Linked DNA regions of Diceros bicornis minor. The protein of the gene in region 2 interacts with the protein of the main gene of each other region in a biochemical or structural test. Links are inferred from orthologs where the notes say so. Each region holds a gene or a part of one and is shown on either strand. Other genes may lie near its edges.

Region 1 (12,300 bases), on a different chromosome or scaffold from region 2:
AAAAGAATAGCACTAATTAGGTAGCATATATGAATAGCACTTGGCAAACTGCCAGAGAGAAATTTGAGATGTTTGGGTTAAACATGGAAAAGCTGAGTTCAATTATGATAGAAGAGACACCTGCAATGAAAAGGAGAAAAAAGTTTCAATTGTTGGTTCAAGTCAAGACTAGAATGCTGGACCCGAGTCCCCAGCCTCCCACACTCCTCAGGAATACCGCACTATGATCTCTGCATGTTCCTTACTCCAATATGCAGAGTGAGTCATCAAGGACTTGACTTTTCTCCCAGAGCATATCTTTATGGGATATTTTGAAAAAAATGTTTTTCTGCTGTTCTTATTTTTTTAATGACCTCAAATGATAGTAGTGTACAGAGATTTCCTAAGTCAGTTTCTTAGATCATAGATTTAGGAGCTCTGAGACACCCAATTTGCTTCCCTGTCCCACAACGCTTCTAATCATGTTTTTTTCTTCTTGACATGATTAATAAACACATCTAAACACAGTCAACCTGAAACCACACGGAAAGAAACAAAAGCCCTAATGATGCATCCAAGGAAGCCCAAGTACTCGAACTCAGGCTAGACAAAGAGCCCGAGCAGCTGCAGTGCCCGCACCCCCTCACACTGCTGAGGGAGCTCAGAGCAGATGCCAATTCTGAAGTATTACTGTAGTGCTGCTTGTAGAAATGAGGTCACATTTTCAGAAACTAGTCATATTCGGATTACTTTGAATCCAACTAGGTCGCTACAATTGCCTCAAGATGTGTCAAAAGCATATCTATCCTATAATCACGAGGCCACTTCAGGACATACTGACTACAATGAGTGAACCATGTCTACCAAGAAGTCATAGCACTCTTGGAAATTTAGAAAGCAGTGTTATGAACCATAAAACTATTCTGTTCTCTTTTCACAAAACTGCTAAAACTACATCAGTGGAAAAAACCTGGAGCTGAAATGCCTCAAATGAGTATATCTCACATTTCTTAAGAAAAGCTCAGTTAATAAACACTAGTAGCTTCACCCAAACCTTTAGCCAGGCATTTCTGTATAAACACTGTTTATTGGTCTGCTTTTATAAAATGCTTTAAAAAGTGCATATATCATTACTTTCAATTGGTTTTAAAGCCATGCAGGCAGCCCTGAGCTCTAGTGGGTCGTCTGTGCTCACTCCAGTACTGAGGCAAGACAGAAAGCTTCCTTGCAAACTGTGATGGAGATCCACTCCAAGTCTATCTATCTTCAGTAATGGACATTTCACAATTTCTCTTGATCATTTATTCTGTTGCCTATTTTTCCTTCCAGTTAAAAAGTGGCAGTTCAGTATTAATTTGAACCACCCTTACTACTAATAATGTTGGTGGCCATCTACATTATTGCTTATCTATTTGGTGTAAAGTGAAGATGAGTGTTTTACCCAATTTTTAAGAACTTGTTTAATTTAATACCTCTCCTGGGATCGTCTCAACAATCATGATCATATTCATCTTATTTATCTTATTTTTCATATACCAATTATGTTTTTAGTCTTTAAAGCTAATCTCTACAGTCAACTCAGAGATAACAAAGATCCAGAGAAGCACAGAACAGGAACTAGGTCAATCCTTGTCTTGGCTCTGGCTTGCCCTCTTTCACTTTGGACACATCCCTTCCCTTCTGTGGGCCTCCATCTCCTCATCTGCAAATGAGGGCTGCTGACTGGTAAGAGGCCTTCTGACTTGGACAATACACCATGAACTTCAGTCACTAAAATCTCATATGACAGTCCCCAAATTCAGTGATATGCATGCCTGTTTTTGTACCCAAAGACACAGGAATACGGAAGGGCTCTTTTACCTCAGTCTGACTCATCTTGCCAAGGTACTAGGCTGAATATAGTAGGCGAGGTTTCGAAAATGAGCCCTCTGGCTTGAAAAATAAAGAGTACTCATCAAACTGGTAAAAATATAAGGGGACTTGCAGATAATACAAAATACTCTTGGAGATAATAAACTTACAGATAATAAAAATGTTTAAAAAAAAAAAAAAAAAAGTTCTTCAACCAAAGACAAGCCAAGAAAGTAGCTCTTAAAGTGAAGAGATAGCCATAAAGGAACATGAAGCAAGTACAGGGGGTCAAGAAGCTAAGTCGCCTAAAAGACTTAACTCCACATGGATTATCAATTTGGTTTTTACACTGAGCAAATAGTTGCCTCCAAAAGTTACACATTGTACAGTTTACACTGTCATTTGTGCTTCTGTTCCTTCCACAAACATTTATTGAGCACCTCCAGTGAGCAAAAAAATAAGTTTATTTCAAATCTGTGTATTCAACCCTAAATGAAAGTCTGGCTACTATGGGGACAAATACTATTCCAAAGTTCAGTCCACAGGAAGCAGGGTGGCACCCTGTTTCCTTGCATGTGAATCATTCAAGCAGGAAGCAGTAGAAAAACTGAAGAGCAGTAGTTCTCAAAGTGTGGTCCCTGGACCAGCAGCAGCATCATTTGGGAACTTGTTTGAAGTGCAAATTCTCAGGCTGGCCCAGACCTAGGAATGAGGAGCTCTAGGAACAGGGCTAAGCAATCTTGTTTTAATGGGACCTCCAAGTGATTCTGATGACACTGAAGTTTGGGCACCACTGCTACACATTAACAATGGATCTTAAGAAAGAAGGCCTGAGTGGGTAACATTTTTTTTAATTCAAATTTCTTAATCTGAGTAATGTTCATGCAAATCAAGAACACACTGAAAACTCAGAATGTTAGAATGAGTAAAACAAAATCAAATTTTTCTCAAATTTCATTTGAGATAATAAACCTGTCAAGAATTTTCCTAACCCTCTTTACTTTTTTCACATATGTACAGATATTCTTCCCCCAGCCCCCCAAAATAAATTTTTCACTCTAATTTCCTCAGTGAAGATCTACATTCCAAAATATTCATAGATGTTTCTCCCTTGCTCCAAATCTGTTCAATCATTAGTATCTGACAATTCTACCCACCTTCCCCCCCCCCCCAAAAAAAACATCCACCATCCCTCTCCATCCCACTGCCACAGAATTACCTCAGGCTGACATCATCTCTCAGGGGCACTAGTCTCCTCTGGTTTAGCAGTGTTCCCTCCAACCACTGTCTCCAGAGCAATCTAGCACTCAAACCTGAGTGTGTCACAACCTCTTGCTGAAAAGTCTTCTGTGGCTCAGGCATAGAGGATCAAATCCAAGGTGTTAACCTCTCTCTAGCCTCTGCTCCCTTATACTTCACACCTCAATGATACTAAACCATTATCAGTCCCCTAAATGGTCTGTGCTTTCTGTTTTCTTTGTGCTTCTGTCCAATTTTCTTCTGTCCCCAGTTTCTTTGTCAATGCCAGCTCTACAGTGTATCTCCCTGTAGACTAAGCTGGAGGCAGGACTCTCGTCTTCGCCACATGCCCAGCATCTAGTGCAGAGCTAGGTGTATATAGTGGTGCTCAACAAATATTTGCTGAATACAGGCTCAAAAGCCTAAGAGAAAACATTTATTTTTATAAATGTCATATAAAAATGAGACTCTCTAGCATTGAAATCTCTTAAAACAACCGCAATTAAATCAAAAGAGTGTTACTAAGATATTATGGTCTTGCTACCTAAAGTTTTTGGTCTTTCTTAAAAGTGTACAGAAAAATAAAAATAAGTTCTATTTGCTATTAAGTCCCTAGTCTGTACAGTGAACATCATTCGTGTCTGGTCTTTGCTTCATTTCAGTTTAGAACCTTTATTTTCTACTTAGCCCAGTTATGTTCTCCAATTAATAACCTCAAGTTCTTAGGCATGTATGGCAGGATCTGCCAACTCTGTACTACAAGTGAAGTCAAGGTAAGCAAAGTCAACAGACACCCAAACGAGCAGGATTTCTATTCAGTTGCCACTGCTTGCTTCATGACCCAAAACAGGGGTCCATGAAGGAGGGTACATCCCTTCAGGGAATACATTAAGTGGTCCACTGGAGTAGGAGAAAAAAATGTACATTCAGCTTTTTTTAATGTCATCTTTCTACTTTTGGTGTGATTTATAACATACAAAAAAAATAATACACACACATTGTTTATAAATATACAGTAGGCGGTCATGGTCAATTTTCATTTTTATTTTTATTTTTTTTTACTGACAGGGCTGGAAAGCCAAAAAGGTAGAAGATCAATGTACCTACCAGTACGAGAACCCACAGAAGCACCTCCTCCCCAAAATACACAATAAACCTGGAATTGTGACTTCCTGCATTTACCATTACTGTGATCAGGTGAGGCAAGCTTAGGCCATAAGACCATATTCAGCCCCATGAGGTCCTATTTGTCTTTACCAGGGACTCATCACTTGCTGTTTAAATCTCTTGGGATGAAACCACCTGTCCATGATCAGACAACCTCGCTAACAGTCATGATGTACTCTTGAGAATTTAAAGCATAATCTGAAAAATGAAGTTTTGTTTCCACCTATGTTTTTAGGGATATTAAAAAGGACTGAATCAGCTAAGTGCAGCCACCAGAAGCAGGAATCAAGAAACTGAAAAATTCTTCAGCTCACTAGCATCCTGTAACTATTTAACCTTGTTTACCGTAAGTTTTTCCAGAAACAGAGAATCAACTTTCAGAAGAGCTTATCCCAAATACTACTCGAAGGGTAACAGCTGACCAGATTTTAACTTTTAAGTATCAAGAACTTTTAGATGCAGAATTTCTTAGTAAAGCAAGCCCTTATAGTATTTTATTGCCAAAATTTCTCTCGGAGTTACATATCCTATCTGAATTAAAAGACAATCTCTTCAAATAACGATTTGACAGAGCGTAGGACCGACTGAGTGTGGGCTCCGAGGAAGAACTACCAATTTTTGTGCAACCCACCAATGTTAAAATCTTTCTCGAAGTGACACATTTTAAGATGCCAGATTCCAGCAGAAACCTCAGGAGGCAAACCACATACTTAAACCTTCCGTAGAACAGAAACATACAAGCTTACCTGTAGGAACATTCTATCCTTCCCCCCAAACACGCATGTGCATCCTCTCCATCTAGACACCTCTGCGAGCTATTCTCCCGTGTTCCCTCCAACCGTGCTAACGAGGCGCTGCATCTCTCGCCCTCCTGTTTCCCATTCACCCGTGGGTGCTGCACGTTCATCTATCCTAAGTTCAACAGTGAATTGCAGGATATTCAAATTACAGCCCCAGAAGAAAGCATATTATTATTTCTGTAAAGTCTTGTATTTAAAAAGCAACTTCTTCCCCTCACTACTTGCTCCTTCTAGTACCTTCTGAACACAATCCCCCACCAGCCCGCATCGAGCAGCTTCGTGGGGGCAGGATCTATCCTACGTGCCACTCAAGTGGGATACGGTCCCCCTTCTGCTATTCTGGGAACACCCTTTATCCCCAGAGGCCAATACGAGCCCCGTCACAGCCGGACGGCACGCAGGGCCGACTTCCGGAGGGGCACACCTCGACTCCCTCCCGTCCGGGCCGGCAGCGAGGGGCGCCCGGGGAGCGCGGGGGTCGGCGGGCGGCGCGGCGGCGCTGGGCCGCGGCCAGGGATGAGCTCAGCGGCCCCGCCGGGTGTTGCCGGCAGGTTGCATCAGACGCCGCGCGGGGCCGGCCCCCTCGGGCCGGGCCGGGTCTCCTCGGGCCAGGCCCAAGCGCACGCAAGCGGCCGGCTCCGCCGCGGCCTCCTCCTCCCCGTCAGCTCGCCCGCCCGCCCTCGACCTCCTTACCTGCGCCTCCAGCCCGCCCGCCCCCAGGCGGCCTCCACTCCGAGCGGCCCCGCGCGCCGCGGCCCAACCCGAGCCAGGCCTAGTAGCCTGCGAGTCACCGAGGACAAGCGACGGTTACGAAACCGGCAGCCTCCGCCCGTTCCGCCGCCGCCGCCACCGGCTTCCCCTCCTCGCCGGGGCCGCGCGCGCTGCCGCCGCCGCGTCAAGGACCAATGGGAGCGCCGGCCTGCAGGCGACGCGCCCGCCCCTCGCGACAGGCAGCGCCGCCAGCCAATCGGGAGCGGTCTGGCTGCGGGAGGCGGGCACGTGGCGGAGGCGTCCACCACGGCGCAGCGGAGTGGGCGGATGTGGCGGGAGGTGACGGTCTGCCTCGGCGCCGCCCGGGGTTCCTGCGCCGTTGGAGCGGGGCTGCGGCCCGGAGCTGTGGAGACCCGCGGCGAGAAAGGGTCTGTCAACGTTGGAGGCAACACCTGTCTTTGGAAAGCACCATTTCCTGAGGTGGTGTTTTGAATCAGCGGTTTCTGTTTTGGTTTCCCCACGGCCTCGGGGAGCCCCCTCGGCGTCCTCACGGGGACAGTTTCCCGGGACGTGGGGCACCCAACGGGCCCGCGCCCTCGGAGGGAGCCTGCAGAGAAGGCCTGGACCTCACAGCCGTTAAGGCAACTGCAAACTTGTTAAAAAACGAACGAAGCAAAATCTTCCCAACGTAGTATTGATGTCACGTTGGCGGACACTGCGGACTGTGGTTCGCTGAAACGGGGAAACGAATGGAATTTCCATGATCGATTCCCCTGTGCTGTCTTCCAGATTGAGATGTGATCTCCAAAAATGAATGGCAATCCCGCTTTATTTATCCAAGATAATTCACAGGCGGATCTGAAAGCGCTTTAAAACCAGGAAGCAGTGTGCTGGGTAGAGGACAGAGCCGGCGATAGGTTTGATTGCTTCCTCTTGAGCAACTCCTGTTGTCCAAAAAATAGAGTCTTTGAAAGAGGAAACGTTTCTTCATCGCCCAGGCCATGGCACCAGCTCTCTGCATAGGACTGTTTCGAGGAATCATAAAGAGATGATAAAACATTTGCAAAAAATAAAGTAAAAATAAAAAGGGCTGCAACTAAAAGTGAACCACGATGACCATAGAAGCACACTTGCTGGAGTGACACAATATCATCAAAAGCAGCATGTTTCTTTCACTTTGGCCCTCAGTGTTCTTAGCTGAAATTTCTTTGATCAAGATTTTAGCACTATTAAAGTTGGATTATATTTTGTTGCTCACAAAATCATAATTTTACCCTCACTATTTTCTAATCTCTTAAAAATTGTATGGAAAAAAATCATATTGGTATATTCATTTATCCTCTAGTTTGCTAGCCACTCTGCCAAGCTGCTCTAGCATTTTCTGTGTCTATCTGGACAGGCCGCCTTCCACACTCAGCAAGTCTAGCCAATGCCAAGGAGACTAGAGTGTTTATTTCCTCTTCAACTGGTAGCTGGTAATTCTTTCTTCTCAGTTTACAAATATTTATTTGGTGCCAACTATGTGCTAGCTGTGGGCCAAGTGCTGGGGATTCAGCAATGAACACAACAAACACAGTCCCTGCCCACATGGAGCTTACACTTAGAGCCAAGGGAAGCAGACATTCAGTAATGACACAATTTTCTATAACCATTTTCATAGATACTACAAGAAAGACGTACACAGTGCTGTGAGAGATTATAAAACGGGATCAAAACCTGGTCTATGGGTCAGGGAAGGCCTAAAAGATGAGTGGAGTTTGGCTCCGTGGCACAGACGAAGTGGATGTGCCAGTCAGAGGGAATGTCTTATCTAAAGGTCTTGTGATGGGAGAAATGTAAGGCCAGAGTGACTGAACCACGGTGTCCCCGTTAGACTGTGAGATAGGCAGGGCCTAGAAGCGTTCTGATTTTTACCATAAGAGAGATGGAAAGCCATCTCTTAACTTGCTCTCCCCATAAAGAAGTGAGGAGAGTCTGGTGGAGGCTATCTCCAGGTTGAGGAGATCCACCATATTGCTTTCTTGTAAGTCACAGGGACCCAAGCCATCATAATAAAAGAAAAATTTCCTGCAGAGATCTCTGCCTCACTGATACCCAATACATATTCTACAAATCCAAAGAATTTGTAAACAAGTAGTACATTAAAATCCCCTCCAAATGACTTGAGAAGTAGGATGTCCTATTAACTGAACATGCTAGTGACCTGACAGCTACTATGATTAACGACCTTAGTTACCTAAGAGGTATGGACTCTAGTGTCAGGCTATTCTGTCCACAGCTTCACCTCTTACTGGTTGTGTGACCTCAAACAAATTACTTGACCTCTGAGTCAACTGTGAATGGGGATAACAACAGTATCTACCTAATAGGATTGCTGTGAGGATTAAAGGAGTTAATATGTTAGGCTCCTAGAACAATGCCTGCCTGGTCCATGGTAGGAGCAAAGTGTTAGCTGTTAATACCATGATGCTCATATGTGAATTATAAACAAATTATATCCATAGAATTGTAGTAGACTAAAATGAACTTCAAAACAGGGTGCTTAACATTGCTTTGATGATTCAGGCACTGAAATATACACAATATTGAGGGTGTTGATGCTGACCCTTTGGTGTATCCCAAAAGATGTTTTTTAGAATAGTTCTTTTAGTTGCCACATCTTATCATTTCATTTGTTTCTATAAAGTAGAATGGAGGAAAAATTTAATAATTTGAAATCTCTTGTTTGAAAGCCAGATCAATAGACAGTTACTATGCAAACAAGTATTTGTCTTAAATGTGCCTTAAGTACTTAATGATAATACTTAGGTATCTAGCATAAATGTGTATTTGGAAAGTTTCTGAAAAATTAGTATACCAAATTAACCACCTTTGACAGGAGATCTGGACCATGTCTATAATATTTTGAGAATTGAGATGATGTCTGTCACAGGTTTGAATCTCAGTAGATATTGATTGTGTTATATTAGCAATAATGTGACAGTGATTGTCAATCATTCTGCATTGCTTAGGGTTCTTTTGATTGGAAGTAACTGAAAACCATCCCTGACTAGCCTTAGCGTAAAGAAGGACATGGTCAAAGGTTATAGGACACTCTTCATGAAGTACCAGGCCACATCAGAACCAAGACCTGAAATGCTCAAATGTCTTCATGTCTGTCTCTGTCTCTCTGTCTCTGTGTGTGTATGTGTGTGTGCACATGCCTATTGGTTTCATTATTCTTTCTGCTTGCTTCTTTCTTCACATGGCCAATGACATCCTCAATGTTCACAGCTTTGGTCACTAGAGAAAGGCCAACTAAATCCCTTTCTAAGTTCTTGTTACAAAAATCCTTAGGCAAGGACTCTGGGATTGGCCCAGCTGAGCAGTGTGCTCATACCCGGAATGATCAAATAACCGGGAACAAATCACGATGTACTAACATGGCAGCTACGGAGGGGATGGCAGAGGCACTTCCCAGAGGAAAAGAGAGTGCTGAGCAGACGAATCCATTAATATCCATTTCAAATGTCAGATCACACTGGTCACTCTAATGGATCCTTAGTCACCCTGGCTGACTGATTTGTTCTTTCCCACGTGATATGATCCCTATCTTGAGGGGAAAATTTAAACCTCCAATTTTACCTTTAGAAGCACTATTTGGAATCATAACAGCTAAGATGCTAAATAGTTGTCTTAGGACATTTCCAAATTTCAAAAGCAGGTCCTATGCATGAAGAGAAAAATCTGACATAGCTTAAACTTGAACAGTTAGCAAATACTGTGAATGTCTATCATAAAGCATTTTTCCATGTGTCAGATTTTGTTAGCCTGTGAGTTAAGACATGTCATCTGTGCACTTAAGAATCGTACTTGTCATCTGTGTGCACAAGGATAGATGTGTACCATGTGATTATATGAAGACAGTGCAGATCATCCACACACATGAGGAGAGCTACATGCATCTGTGCACATGAGGCTAGGTGCCTGTCGCCTGGGCATATAATGATAGGTATTCGTCATCTGTGCACATAAGAGAGGGGGTGACATCTGTGCACATCAAGAGAGGTAATCTGGATCTTTTGTGGGCCCAAGAGGGTCTTATTATCACATATCTTCACTCCACAGAATAAGCACTAATTACCTGTTACATAGTTATTGTAATGCAAATTATTCCAGTGCCTATGAAGTACCAAACCAAAGATAAATGAGGTGGGGTTTTTTTGGTTTGTATATTTGTGATATATGTGACACCAGTCTCCATCATGGCAGTATGATGGGCTTTGGAGACAGAACAGGGTGATGTTGGCTAGCATTTAACCTAGCCAACCTAGGTTTAACCTGTTCCTCATCTGTAGAGAGGGTTGACAGTAAATACCTCATAGAATTGTTACGAGGATTAAGTAAGTTGACATGAAAAGAAGATCGCATAGTGCCTAGCACGTAGGAGGCACAAAATAGTTTGTCCATCCAAAGAGAATTTGTTACCTAGGTCCCCGTTCTTAGTTTCTAATACCATTCTTTAATAAAAGGAACTGAGCTCCTTGGAGAAATGGCTGATTCTAGGATTGAGGCAGGAAATATACAGGATAAGCCTGGAGCATCTTGCAGTACCAGAAAGTAAGGAAGTACTCAAAAAGCAAAACAATGGTGGTATGTGCCTTAGGTCAGGCTGCTATAACAAAGTATCATAGACTAGGTGGCTTAAACCACAGAAAATAGCATTCACCCTCTTTGATCTTCCTCCCAAGAACTCAAAACCCCAATCAAATGAGACAAACACCAGACAAATTCCAATAGAAGGCTGACAAGTCCAAGATCAAGAAGCAAGCAAGGTAGATTTTATTCTGAGGCCTCTTCTCTTGGTTTGTAGGCAGCCGCCATCTCCCTGTGTGCTCATGTGACCTGTTAGTGCGCATGCGGGGAGAGAGAGAGAGCAAGCTGTCTGGTGTCTCGTCTTATAAGGGCACTAATCCCATCAAAAGAGGGCCTTCAGGAACTCATCTAACCCTAATTCCCTCCCAAAGGCCCCATTTCTAAATACCATCATACTTGGGATTAGTGATTCCTTCAACATAGGAATGTAGGGGGGGCACAAACATTCAGTCCATTATAGGATGTCAAAGAGTCACAGGACCCAAATGAAAGAGCCCCCAGCACCCAAAGAGCCCCCACGCCAATTTGAGGGGCAAAATAAATAATGTAGTATTGCATCATAATCCAAAGTATAAAATAAATATCCCTGAGTCCATGTTGATATAAATAAATGATTGAGTAAATAAATAAATGTCGGAGAAGAGACAACTCTCCCATGTAGAAGAATTCCAAATAATCTATGTAGATACTCCACCCTCAGATGGAGGAGCGTAACTCTCCACTCCTTAAGTGTAGGCTGCACATGGTGACTTCCTTCTGAAGAGCAGAGCATGAAAGGGAAAAATAAAGAGGAACTGTACAGTGGAGAAACCTGATAAATGCTACTTACTACAGCCAGGTGATCAAGGTCAATTTCAATAGTCATAAACCATGTTGACATAATAAGATGAAAATGTCACTTGACCTCTTTGATCTTCCTTCCAAGAACTCAAAACCCCAGTCAAATGAGACAAACACCAGACAAATTCCACTAGAAGGGCATTCTACAAAATACCTGACCAGTATTCCTCAAAACTGTCAAGGTCATCAAAAACAAAGAAAGTCAGAGGAAATGTGACGGTCTGGAGAATCCTAAGGGATGTGATGACTACATGTAATGTGGTATCCTGGATGGGATCCTGGAACAGAGAAAGGACATTGGGTAGAAACTAAAAAAAATCAAATAAAGTATAGACTTTATTTAATTTATTTGATAATGTATAAATATTGGCTCATTAATTGTAACAAATATACTAATGTAAGATAATAATAGGGGAAATTGGGTGCAGGGTAAATGGGAAATCTCAGCACTATCTTCTCAATATTTTGCAAATCTAAAATTGTTCTAAAAATGAAGTCTATTTAGGAAAAAAAGCATTTGAGGTGCACTGCAGTGTTAACATTCACTTAAAACAGGACACTTTAAAGCATTAACAAATCAGAGTAAGCCCAGACTTGAGCCAACTCAGTAAAGAAGTTGAGCCCAGCAGAAGAGCCTTGAGCCCCACTTCTTACCTTGACCACTGGTGGTAAATGTGCTTCCGCCAGGCGGACCCAAGACGTCCAGAGAAACGGAGCCAGAGAGGGGAGCAGAACTACAGGAGCTCCCCCAGGAGGAGAGAAGAGTGGGGAAGAGGGAAGCAGCGGCGGAGGGAGACCACTTTGGGGCTGCAGGATGATCCAGAAGCCCGGAGAGCCATCTTTGGGCTATGGAGGAAGCCCCATCCTCACGTTAAGGTCTAGATGCCAGGTCAATCGCTGGAAGCCGCAAGGCTGAGGTGAGAAGGAGATGGGAAGCTCCCCAGACAGAGGGATGTTGTTGTCCCACTTACTCATTCTTGCATTCTTTTTCCTCTGTCTCAATCAACTGATGTTTATTGAGTCTCTACTCTGCACCAGGCACTGTCCCAAGTTCTGGCAGTCCTAGGGAGCAAGGCAC
Region 2 (12,161 bases):
TGTGCCTCAGTTTCCCCAACTGGGGAGGGGGGTGATAAGCAGCACCAGAGTCATTGGATTGTTCTAGGGATACAAGGCCCGGAAAGCACACACGTGGTGTAGAGCTGGCGCTCGACGAACCGAGGCCCGTCCCCCTCACACCTCACCTGCTCAGGTGTCTGCTCAGATGCCACCTCCCCGCCACTCCCACCCACTTTCCTTCCTTCAGAGCCCTTGTCCCCAGCTGTCATCATCTTGTTCAAGTTACTGGACTTAGTGTCTGTCTCTCCCCATAAATTGTCACCTCCATCTGGGTCACCACATGTCCCCAGCACCCCGCATAGGGCCTGACACACAGCAGGTGTTCAATCAATGCATGTTGAATAAATGAGAAAAACAACTGGACAAATAAATCTCAGAAACAAGGACAAAACAGTCCCAGGAGGTCTGGACGGGAGTCTAGGGGAGGAGGACACGTTCTTTAGGTGTTTAGATGGGGAAGTCCCTCTTCTCTTTCTTACCCCAATTTCTACTATTCTTAGTTGTGCAGCATCGGACAGGTCACTGCCCCTCGCTGAGCCTGTTTGCAGGGCAGGAAAACACCAATAACGAAAGCCCCGGCCTCCAAGAGGCTGATGAGCCAATTATAGTAGCCAGCACACCCCCGGCCCAGTGTCTCCAGCTTTCATTTCTGACACCCACTTTCCCTTTTGGTAAAATCACCAGGCCATGGGCCACTGCATAAGACCATGCGGTGTGAACGTCTTCTCACAACTCGCCCATCCTGAGCAAACATGGCCTGGGGTTCCCAGCCAGCCTCAGTGGTCAACCCACTAAATGGGCCTGCGGTTAACACGACCAGCCTTCTGGGGCGGACGGAAGGATCGAGCAGGTCCGTCTGTGCCAAGGCCTCGGAGTGGGGCTTTCTTTGCATGTCATAAGCACTGAACTCGCATCCACTATTGTTCCTCTTCCTCCAGGTGCGTCTCTGGCCTCCTGGGCCCCTCTAGTGCCCCTTTGCCCCCTCCTACCCTCCCAACTTCTGAATGGTCTGGTCCCCCCTCCTCGCAAGCCTTTAGCCCTCCTAGCCTACAGATCCGTGGGGTGGGTGTCCCCCAATCTATGACATCTCCCCATGTCTTTGGGCACAGCTCCGTCCACAGTGCTCCCATACCAGGCAACCCAGGCCACCACGAGAGCCCTCGACCTATTAACCATTTTTCCCAGCCTTTTTCAGGGGCCATCAGATGGGCTTGGGTTCAAATCCCCTTTCTGTTGCTTCCAAATTGGGAAACAGGGCGCAAGTCACTTAACTCTGGCGCTGGGGGCGCCTGAACTTGGGGCTGGGCAAGGAGCCCCCGCGCACGGCGCAGGACTGGGGGCAGGGGCTGGGGTTACAAACCAGACTCCCGGCCCCCAGCTTTCCCGGGAGACTCGGGAGGCGGACTCAGCTCCCTAACCCGCTCCACCCCGTTCCACCCTGGGCACTAACCCCACTTCTGTGGGCTCAGTTTACTTTTGTGAAATGGGTGTAACACCCTCCACGAGGCGCTTACGTCGATTCAAGCAGGCTGTGAGTGTGTAAAGAGCGGCACTCAAGGCTGGCTCCGAGGCAGCGCCAGGAAAGGGGCGCGTGGGGGTCGCTCTTCGGCTTCGGCCTGGCTGCTCCCCGCTCAGCTCCTTTGTGTCTTCTGCAAAATGGGTGAGCGGCAGCCACGAGGCCACTCTCCGTGACAAAGGGGAGAGCGGGACCGGAGAGATTCCTTCCTCTGCTGTGACCCTCCGCGCCCCCCAGAAAGACTGAGTCGCCCCCTTCCCCAGGTCCGGCGCCCAGCCCCTGCCCTCCAGCAGGTAAATCCGAGGGGCGGCTGAGCCCATGTGCTGTCGCGGGTACTGGGCTGACTCCCAGGGAAAAATAATAACAAGAGCAAAGGCTTATATAACACCTCCTGCGTGCCAGGCACCGCGGCCGCCGGCCGGGGATCCACCAACCCCTCCAACCCCCGTCGACATCCTCGACTCTCAGGAATGCTGTCCGGGGCTGGGACGGGGGTGGGGGTGCAGCGCGGGGGCGCGGGAGCGTATGGGGGGCAGGGAAGCAAAAGCCTTACCCCGAGCCGTTTCTGTCCCAGGGACTCAGGGACAGTGGCCCCGGGCTCAAATCTGAGCTCAGCCACCTTGAGCAAGCAGGCGAGGCCGGGCCTCGTGTCCACATCTGGAGAGAGGACAAGTGGTAAATGTCGGGTCCCAAGGAAAGGGAGCACCCTTCCTCCACCTCCCTCCACCCGGCCCAGCTTCTTCCCTCCCGCCGGCCAGGGACACACACACCAGCCAGGGACACACACACACACAAGCTCGCCCACGCACCCAGCCTCCTCTCTTAAAATATATACACACACGCAAAGTAGTTTTTAAACAGCCCGCCCCACTACACTTACCCAAAGAATCTTCTCCAACCTGGGCTCAGCAGGACCAAGACCTGTACCCCTCCTCCTACATAACCCGGCCTGCCTGACTGCTCCCCAAACACCGTGCAGAGGTCACAGACCTCCAGGCCCCCCTAAACCCGAGCCTGGCACTCAGGACCAGCCAGAGGTCCCCGACCCCTCCCCAAGCAAGGTTCCCAGGCTCTCCTCCCCAGCACCCCGGGGCGCTGAGTCACCGCGTAAGCCTGACCCAGCACTCCTCTGCCCCTCCCCCCCAGACCTGGTACCCCCATCTCCAAGCACAGACCCGGGGCGGAGAGCAGCAGAGGAGGAGAAAAACCAGCTGTAACACCCCCACCCAACCCCCAAAAAAGCCAAAAATAATAGCAGCCCACGCACACACACAGCAACCCCCGACACACCAGAAAAGCAAAAATAAAACCGTATCAATCCAAAACAAAGAAAAAAAATCAAAAGCCAACTACTGCCCCCAAAAGGCTTTTTAACCATTCTCAAAAAAAAAAAAAAAGTTTATTAAAAGTGTTCTTAATGCTTGAAACGGAAAAGATTCCCAAATATACAGACGCCTCTTTTCTCATAGAAATAGATTATTTTTTATAATACAAAAAAAAAAGACCAAAAAACAACAACAACAACAATAAAAACAACAGCAACAGCAACAACCCCGCAGGAACATATTTAAGCGATTACTCCGGGCCCGGCTGACAGTTACACGTGGGTTGCGTCAGTCCCGTGTACACACGCGTTCAGCCATGTTTAAGCCGATTGCATCAACTTCGACACCGGCCCGCCCGCCGGCGCCTGGAGAGGGGCAGAGGGACAGGCAGAGTTCGTCATTCATCTGTACACATAGACATTTCTTCTTTAAATAACACCGCGGGCGGGCGCGCCCTCTGCGCGTGCGGCTGGTTTGGACAAAAATATAGATATATATATAATAAAATATTAAAGTTACCGACGAGCTCCCCGCGCCGCCAAGCGCCCCAGTGCCCAAGTTCCGCCGGCGCCACCAGGGCCGGGGCGCCGCCCGGAGTCCCGGCAGCGCGGGGGCCGGCCGGCAGGGGGACGCGCGCGGGGGCCGCGCTAGCAGTGGCCGGAGGAGGCGAGCAGGGGCTCGGGCAGCTGCTTGAACAAGTTCCGCAGGGTGCTGAGCTCGCGCGACAGCTGCTCCACCTTCTTCTGCAGCCGCTCGTTCTCGGCCGTGAGCTCCAGGACCTTGTGCTGCGTCTCCAGGTTGCGCATCTTGGCCTTGTCGCGGCTCTTGCGCACCGCGATGTTGTTGCGCTCGCGCCGGATCTTGTACTCGTCGCTGTGCTTGTCGACCGCCTTCTTGGCCTTGCTCTTGACCTGCGAGGGCGCGGGCGCCGCCCCCGCGTAGCAGGCGGCCGGGGGCGCCTTGGCGTCGGCGGGGCTCGGCGTGCCGGGCGGGCTGGACGACGAGGACGTGGACAGGCTGCCGCTGCTGCCGCTCGGCACCGCCTGGTAGCCGAGGTAGGCGCGCAGCGCGTACGGAAAGCCCGCCGCCATGCCTGCGGCGCCGCCGCCCGGCGCTCCGGCCTCCTCCTTCCGCTTGCAGTCCGCGGGCTCGAAGCCCGGCTCCGCCTTGAGCTCGGCGGGCGGCGGCGGCGGCGGCGGCGGGGGCGGCGGGTGCAGGGGCGCGAAGCAGCCGGGGTGCAGCGCGCCCTTGGCGGCCCCCAGGCGGCCCAGGCTCACGTAGCCGTACTCGGCCGCCTTCTTGCAGTTCTTGCCCCCGTAGTCGTCGGAGAAGAGGTCGGAGAGGAAGTCGTGGTGCTGCCCGGAGGAGGCGGGCGCGGGGGCGGGCGCGGGCGGAGCCGCCTCGAAGGTGTCCGTGGCCGTGGCCGGCGCCGGGGCCTGCGGCGCGCCCAGCGTCTCCAGGTACGGGCTGAAGTCGATGGCGCGCTCGTGGTCGCCGATGCTACCCAGCTCGCCGGCGGGGGGGCGCGGCCCGGGTCTGGCCGCGGGGGGCGCCACGGGGGCCGCCTTGCCGCCGTACGCAGCAGCCAAGCAGTCCGCCTCGTAGTAGAAGTTGGCCACTTCCATGGATTTAAAGGCAGGCGGCGGCGGCAGGGGGAGACATGCTGGGTCCCAGGCCACCAGGCGTTGCATGAACGCGGGTGCCCGGGGAGGGGGCCTGGGGCTGCCCGCTCCGGCCGGGCCGCAGGTGGCGCGGCCTCCCGGCTCCGATGTCGCCGCGGTGTCTCTGCTGCCGCTGCCGCTGCCGCTGCCGCTACCGCTGCCGCCGGGGTGGCCGCTATTAGTGCGGGGGCTGGCGGCTGGACCCTCGAGTGGGTCCCCTTCCCGGTCCCGTGCGCGGCTCTGACTCGCTAAAGTTTCTCCAGAGCCCGGTTATTTATAAAGGCGGACCATGGTAACGGCTGCGTCACGCCTGGCTGACGCCCCGGTCCCTCCCGCCGCCGCCGGGACGGGGAGGCCGCGGCCGTGGCCGCCCGAGACCCCGGGAGAGAGGCGGCGGGGCGCGGCGGCCGGACCTGAGCCCGGGAACGCGCCCTCGGGGGTCCCCGGGCCCCGGGGGGCGGCCTCACGCCCCCGGCCCCCCCACCCGGCGGCCCCGGGATTGGGAGCGAGAAGAGGAGGCGCGACCCCGCCCCCGGACCGCCCCCTCTGGGCTGGAGGCTGTCCTGGAAGGGCGGAGAATCCGGGGAGGGGGCGACGCGATCGCTTTCCCCGACCCCAAACGCGGCCGCCGCCCGCCCTCTGCTGGACGAGGCGCTGGCTTCAGGATCGGCGGCGCCCAGCCCCGACGCCCCGCAGAGGGGGCGCTCCCCACGCCGGATCCTGGACACTCCAACCCCAGCTCCGGCTCCTGGAGGGAGGGGATTCCACGCCTGCGGCGACTTCCCTCTTAAAGCCACCTGCATAGGAGAAGGGGTGGGGGGGCCGGTTAGGGACGCACTGGGGCCTCTGCCCACGTAGTTCGCGCCCTTCCCCTAGCCCCGCCCACCGCACCTGCCCGCCCCTTTAGGGCACACCTGGGTCTTGTGCAGCCCCACCCCGCTCTGACCTGGGGCCCGGGGTGCTCCGCTCTGCCACACGGTGTGAGCGCGGGCTAGTCACTTCTCTGCGCGTATGTCCACGCAGGTGTCCTTACTGTTATCAGTTGTATTAGTCTCCTCCGCAGACTCCCAAACATAAGGCTGAAGTTTTAACTCTACTGGGAGGCACGGCAGAAAGAAGGGCCCCCCAGAGGGTACAGAGAGGCCCAGAGGGGGCACAGCACCCCCGAGGTCACATGGCCTCATGTCCCCCATTCGTCTCAAAGAAAGGCACTTGCCCGGACACCCTAAGACCTATTTGCCAACGCCAGGCCGAAACTCCTGTTTCTGAGGCTGGTGGGGAGGGGGCCACACAGGAGAGATAAGGGAGTGCCCCCATTTTTACCCACTCCCTACTGTGCGTCGAGGGTGGGCCTAGCTCCGGGGCTCACTTTTCACCCTGCCAGGAGGGGGCTTTGCTGCCCCAGGTTCACAGGTGGGCAATGGGCGATGAGCCTTCCTGGACTTGAAAGTATGCTCTCCCTCTCGGGCCCCATTCCTGGGCCATTTGGGCAGCTCCTTGGGCCCCCCTCTGCCACTCCCGGCCCAGGCCGCCCAGGCAGGAGCTCCCAGCCAGCCTGGGGCTGACCCCCGGCCCACTGACCCCAGCCCTGGCCCTGGCTGGCAGGCGGGCATTGCTCAACCTTTGGCGTTATCTGCTGAGTAGGGGTGACCTCCGCCCCGGAGAGCTGGAGAAATGACCGCTCCTAGCGCCCTTGGGGGTGGGAGGCAGGGAGGGACGGATGAACCACTGTCCTGGCCTGCTGGCTTTCTGCACCCTCCCAGCAGCCTCTGGGCCAAGGAGGGATCCAAGGCCCCAGGGCCACCCAGCCAGACCTTCCAAGCTGCAAAGTGGGACATTCAGGGCTGAGCTGGAGGGACACCGCCTCCCAGAGGCCCTCCCTGCCCCATCTGCAGTGAACTTCCTTCCCAGCCGTATCGCTGCTACCATTATCCTAGTCGTCTTGTCTGCCTCAGTCTCCCCACAGACTGCTCGCTCCGTGAGGACGGGCCCTCAAATACTGGAACTCCTGGGCCGGGCGTGCCCAGAATTTACCAGTGAATGAAGGCATTTGCTGTTCCCTCTGGACCGAGAACACTGTTCCCCCACCTCTGCCCACGGCAGCTCCTCAGGGCTCAGCCCAAAGGTTCCCTCCTCCAGGAAGCCCTCCCTGACCTCCCCATCAAAAGTCCCAGGCCCTCAGTCATTCCTTCCACACCCCCCTGCTTTATTTCCTTCACATTCTCATTACGATCAAAGTTATCTCACCTATCCGTCTTGCTTTCTGTCCCTGTTGCCCCCTCCCCACGGCAGACCCTCCAGGCAGGGATTTTTGTTGTTTTGTTCACTGCTGTTCCCCTGGTGCCTGGAACAGTGCCTGGCATACAGAGGGTCCTCAATGAATGGAGGAGGTTGAGAAGAAGGTGAGGTTCCCCTGTTAGCTGGGCTGTGTGACCTCAGGCAAGATGGCTCCCCTCTCTGAGCCTCAGTACCCCTCACCTCTCAGGGTTCTGGGGAGATGCAGAGATCTGACGGTGGGGGGTCTGGAGCTTATTGGAGGATTTGCTGTGTGTCCTCAAGCCAATCTTCCACTGTCTCTGAACCACATTTTAAGCTCCTTGCATGTATTGACTCATTTAATCCTCCTGATAATTTGTGGAAAGCAGGTCCTGTTATTATCTCCACTTTACAGATGAGGAAACTGAGGCCCAGCTGGGCTAAGGGTGCCTGCCCCACACCCTTAAAGGTGTGGGGAGGACTGAAGTCTTTCCAGCCTGACCTTCCCCTCTGGGTTTGTAACAAGTCATAACAGGTCTGGCGGTGTGAACCCCATTTTCTGAATGGAAAAACGAGGTCCAGAGAAGCATGGCCTGGGTCACACAGTGAGTCAAGGGGCAACCCAGACCCTGGGGGCGAGCCCCAAGGACCAGACGCGGCCCCCCAGCCTCTAGGGTGGTCCTCACCCGCCAGACACTGAGGCTTTGCTCCCCCCTTCCCTGCCCAGGAGTCGCCATCGGCCTGACGAGGACTCTGGCGGTTCCCACCTGCTGCCACCCCAGGTGTCCTGCGGGGAGGCAGCGTGCACGGTGACGTAAGCCCTTGTTTTTCCAAGGCTCGTTGCTCAACAGGCCCTGCCTGCCGCCCCAGCACGAACGCTCGGCCTTGCCCCGAGGAGGGGTGATGGATGGAGGCTGAGCTCCTGTGGCCCAGAGGCCAGAGCACACCCTGGTGGCCTGCAGGCAGCGGAGCCCAGAAACCAGGATCCGCCCGCCGCCACCCACGATGACCTCTCCCAGCTACCGTCGGCGTAGGTGTTTGTAGGAACCTGTTCAGGGAAGGGTCGCAAACTGGCAGCCAGCAGCCAAATCCAACCCACAGACGGGTTCAGTACAACCCCATGGTGTTTTGCTTTTTTTTTTCTTTTTAATGATTTTATTGCCAACATTTAAAAATCGGGAGACTTCACATCAAAATTCAAATTTCCAGCTTCTCTTTTAAAACCAGAAGCCGTGGGCTGGGCCCACGTGGCTGCGAGTGGTGGGCAGGAGACAGACGGGGCTGGGGAGGAACAGGCGCCCTCCCACCCGGATACCCGCCCTCCTCTGCCCCAGACTGCTTTCAGAATTCCTTCCCCCAGTCTCTGCAGCTGTTCCTTAGCCCCATTTTCGGGAGGAGAAAACCGAGGTGACTTGCTCAAAGGGAGTCCCATTGTTGCTCTTTGACGGAGAGTGGTAAAAATGTTTGCAGAGGGGATTAGAAATCAGCCAGCGAGTAGAAAAATAAGGCTGAAGGGGGAACCATTGGAGATGGTCCATGGAGATGCCTCTGGAGTGGGGGGACCGCAGGGTGGACTTTTGTTCAGCTCTGTGCCCTCCTGGCTGTGGCACTCCGGGGTCCTCCCTAGACCTCAGGCCCTGACCTATAAAATGAGGATAATGATCTCACCTCTCTCGGGTGTTCTGGGCCCTCTGGGCCCGCTGGCCCGCCCCAACACATGGAAGTGAATCAGACCTCCCCTTAGCCCCACAAAGGGCCTGACCGCAGCAAGTGATGAAAAACTCACCAAGCAGGCAGATGGGAGACAGGCCCAGAGAGGGCTAGGACTTCCCTCAAGACCACAGTGCTCCACTGGCAAAAGAGTCGGACTTAAAAGCCAGGTCCCCTGATTCCAATGTCTGGGATTTTCCCCACCACGCCTCTTCTTTGAGGCCTCACTTTCCCCATCTGCTAAATGGGGCCAAGATTAGGTCCCCAAGGGCTGCCAGGCCCCAATATCCTGGGATCCAGAATTCTGGCGTCCTGGGAGACGCTAGGGCTGACTGGTGAAACTTGCCTGGGCATATGCTGCCCCCACGTGGCAGGCTCTGGGAATGCAGGCTTGCTTTAAACGAATCCTCTTGGTTGAGGACCTACTGGGTACCTTGCTTTGTGATACAGAGGTTGGCACTATGGATATGAGAGATGCTCACAGGACACGAGCAGGCCACTGAAAGACATAAAAATGTCCCGCAAACAGACAAAAAAGTGCTCACTTTCACTTCATCATTCCCCCAAATTTTTGGCATCTATCGTAGTTCAGGCCCTAGAGACAGAACAAGACATTCATGAACGAGACAGCGCGATTCCTGTTCTCGTGGAGCTAACATTCCCCTTGGGGAAGACAAACAATAGACAAGATAATTGAGTAAAGTATGCATTGTGTTAGATTCTAGTAAGTACCATGGAGAAAAATACAGCAGAGGAGGGGGATAGAGCGGGCTGGGGGATTTGATTTTAACTTCAGATTATAGTGGTCAGGGGAGGCCTCACTGAGGTGACATTTGAGCAAAAACATGAATGCATGAGGGAGTAGGCCATGCAGATATCTGCGGGGAGAGTAGCAGGCAGGGGGAACAGCAAGTGCAAAGGCCCTGAGGGAGGAGCATGGCCAGCCCTGTGTAGTTGTGGGTGGAGCAGAGGGAGAGTGGCAGGAAATTATCTCAGAAATAGTGGGCCCATATCATGCAGGGCTTTGTGTGCCAACCTGAAGACTTTGGAGAGTTCTGAGCAGAGGAGGGACAGGAGCTGACTTAGGTTCTAACAGGTCCCTTGGTCTGCGTGGAGGGGTGGGCTGCGCTGGAGGTAAGGGCAGAAGCAGGGAGCCCGTGAGGAGGGACCGCGGTCATGCAGGTAGATGATGGTGACTCCCCCAGGGTGGTGGGCGTGGAGGCGGGGAGAGGTGGTCAAATTCTGAATCTGTTTTGAAAGGAAAACCTTCAGGATTTGCTGATAGATCCAGTTATAGATCAGCCACACAAGGGACCACCACGCAGCCATTTAAAGGGACAAGGTATATGACACCAAGAACTGGCAACAAAAGACAAAATAGATAAATTGGACTACATCAAAGTTTAAGACTTCTGTGTGTCAAAGGAACGATCGACAGAGAGCAAAGCAGCCTAGAGGATGGGAGAGAATACTTGCAATCAGGTATCTGAGAAGAGACTAATATCCAGAATATATAAGGAACTCCTACAACTCAACAACAACAAAAACCCCAATTAAAAATGGGCAAAGGATAGGACTGGCCTGGTGGCGCAAGTGGTTAAGTGCGCGCGCTCCACTGCGGCGGCCCGGGGTTTGCCAGTTTGGATCCTGGGTGTGCACTGATGCCCTGCTTGGCAAGCCATGCTGTGGCGGCATCCCATATAAAGTGGAGGAAGATGGGCACAGATGTTAGCCCAGGGCCAGTCTTCCTCAGCAAAAAAAAGAGGAGGATTGGCAGATGTTAGCTCAAGGCTGATCTCCTCAAAAAAAAAAAAAAAAAATGGGCAAAGGACTTGAACAGACATTTCTCCAAAGAAGAGAGATGAATGGCCAAGAAGCCCATGAAAAGATCCCAACACCACTAATCAGTAGGGAAATGCAAATCCAAACCACAATGAGAGACCACCTCACACCCCTTAGGATGGCTACTATCAAGAAAAACAGAAAGTAACAAATGTTAGTGAAGATATAGAAAAATTGGAACCCTTTTGCACTATTGGTGGGAATGTAAAATGGTGCAGCCACTATAGGAAGCAGTATGGCAGGTCCTCAAAAAATTGCAAATAGAACTACCATGTGATCCAGCAACTCCACTTCTAGGTATATACCCAAAAGAATTGAAAACAGAGTCTGGAAGAGGTATTTGTACACCCATGTTCATAGCAGCATTATTCACAATAGCCACAAGGTGGAAACAACCCAAGTGTCCATCAGTGTATGAATGGATAAACAAAGTGTGGTCTATCCATACAATGGAATATTACTGAGCCTTAAAAAGGAAGGAAATTCTGACACCTGCTACAACATAGATGAACCTTGAGGACATTATGAACCTTGAGGACATTATGAACCTTGAGGACATTATGCTGAGTGAAATGAGCCAGTCACAAAAGGATAAATACTGTATGATTGCGCTTATATGAGGCACCTAGAGTAGACTCAAAGAGACAGAAAGTAGAATGGTGATTGTCAGAGGCCAGGGAGGGAGGAATGGGGACTTGTTTAAGGAGTATAGAGTTTCAGTTTGGGAAGAAGAAAAAGTTCTGGAGATGGATGGTGGTGATGGTTGCACAATGATATGAATGTTACTTAATGCCACTGAACTGGACACTTAAAAATAGTTAAGATGGGGGCCTAGTCCGGTGGCACAGTGGTTAAGTTAGCACGCTCCAATTTGGTGGCCCGGGGTTTGCAGGTTCGGATCCCGGGCGTGCACTGACGCACCGCTTGTCTAAGCCATGCTGTGGCGGCATCCCATATAAAGTGGAGGAAGATGGGCATGGATGTTAGCCCAGGGCCAATCTTCCTCAGCAAAAAGAGGAGGATTGGCATCGGATGTTAGCTCAGGGCTAATCTTCCTCACCAAAAAAAAAAATAGTTAAGATGGTAAATTTTACGTTACATGACTTTTACAATTTTTGTTTAAACGACAAGGTCGATCTTCATACAACGTCATGGAAAGATGCCCACTGACGCTGTGGCGTGAGAGAAGAGCAGGGCAGAGCAGTACCCTGGTGGAGTGGTGTTTGTCTTGAAAGCATTCACCATTAGCTAGAAAATCTGTTTGATTGTGAGTTCCACACAGTGTTGCTGAGGTGTGGGGAAATTGGTGCTCTTACTCGTAGTGGCTGTGCAAAGTGGGAGCGCCTCCAGCTGTGACTGGGCCATAGCTATCAAAATGGGAACCGTCGCTGGGCATTTACACGACTGAGACTCTCGCACCTGCACAAAGACCAACGGACACTGTAACAGCAAAAGCTTGTGAGATAACATCCGTGGCCATCGTTACCGGGAAATTCCATGCAGCTGCTAGAAAGACTGAGGCAGCTCTGTGGGGGGAGGATCTAGACCAGCGCTGTCCCATAGAACTTTCCGGGATGGTGGGGATATTCTACATCTGGGCTGTGCCATATGGGAGCTACCAGCCACCTGTGGCCATTGAGCCCTTGAGATGTGGCTGGTGTGACTGAGGAACTGAATTTTTCATTTCATTCCATTTTAATTCAATGTGGCTGGTGACTACTGTATGGAACACAACCCATCTAGAACCATCTCCAAGATCTATCATTAAGAGAAAAAAGCCAAGTGCAGCCAAAACGTGTGGGGTGCACACTCCCACATAAATGAAGGGAG

Evidence for each region.
Region 1: the proteins of CEBPB (region 2) and CEBPG form a complex in vitro, tested with the Homo sapiens proteins (2 studies listed by BioGRID and IntAct, with this or other methods). The link is inferred for Diceros bicornis minor from reciprocal best matches to the Homo sapiens genes CEBPB and CEBPG.

What each region holds. Positions count from the first base shown.
Region 1 is NC_080773.1:7,002,079-7,014,378, reverse strand, and holds the start of CEBPG (CCAAT/enhancer-binding protein gamma), read right to left. Parts: upstream 5,885-12,300; 5' UTR 5,730-5,884; intron 5,400-5,729; exon of another isoform or gene 4,983-5,399; intron 1-4,982. UniProt on the Homo sapiens protein: Transcription factor that binds to the promoter and the enhancer regions of target genes. Binds to the enhancer element PRE-I (positive regulatory element-I) of the IL-4 gene. Binds to the promoter and the enhancer of the immunoglobulin heavy chain.
Region 2 is NC_080758.1:11,902,991-11,915,151, forward strand, and holds CEBPB (CCAAT/enhancer-binding protein beta), read right to left. Parts: upstream 4,950-12,161; 5' UTR 4,554-4,949; coding exon 3,510-4,553; 3' UTR 2,921-3,509; downstream 1-2,920. UniProt on the Homo sapiens protein: Important transcription factor regulating the expression of genes involved in immune and inflammatory responses. Also plays a significant role in adipogenesis, as well as in the gluconeogenic pathway, liver regeneration, and hematopoiesis.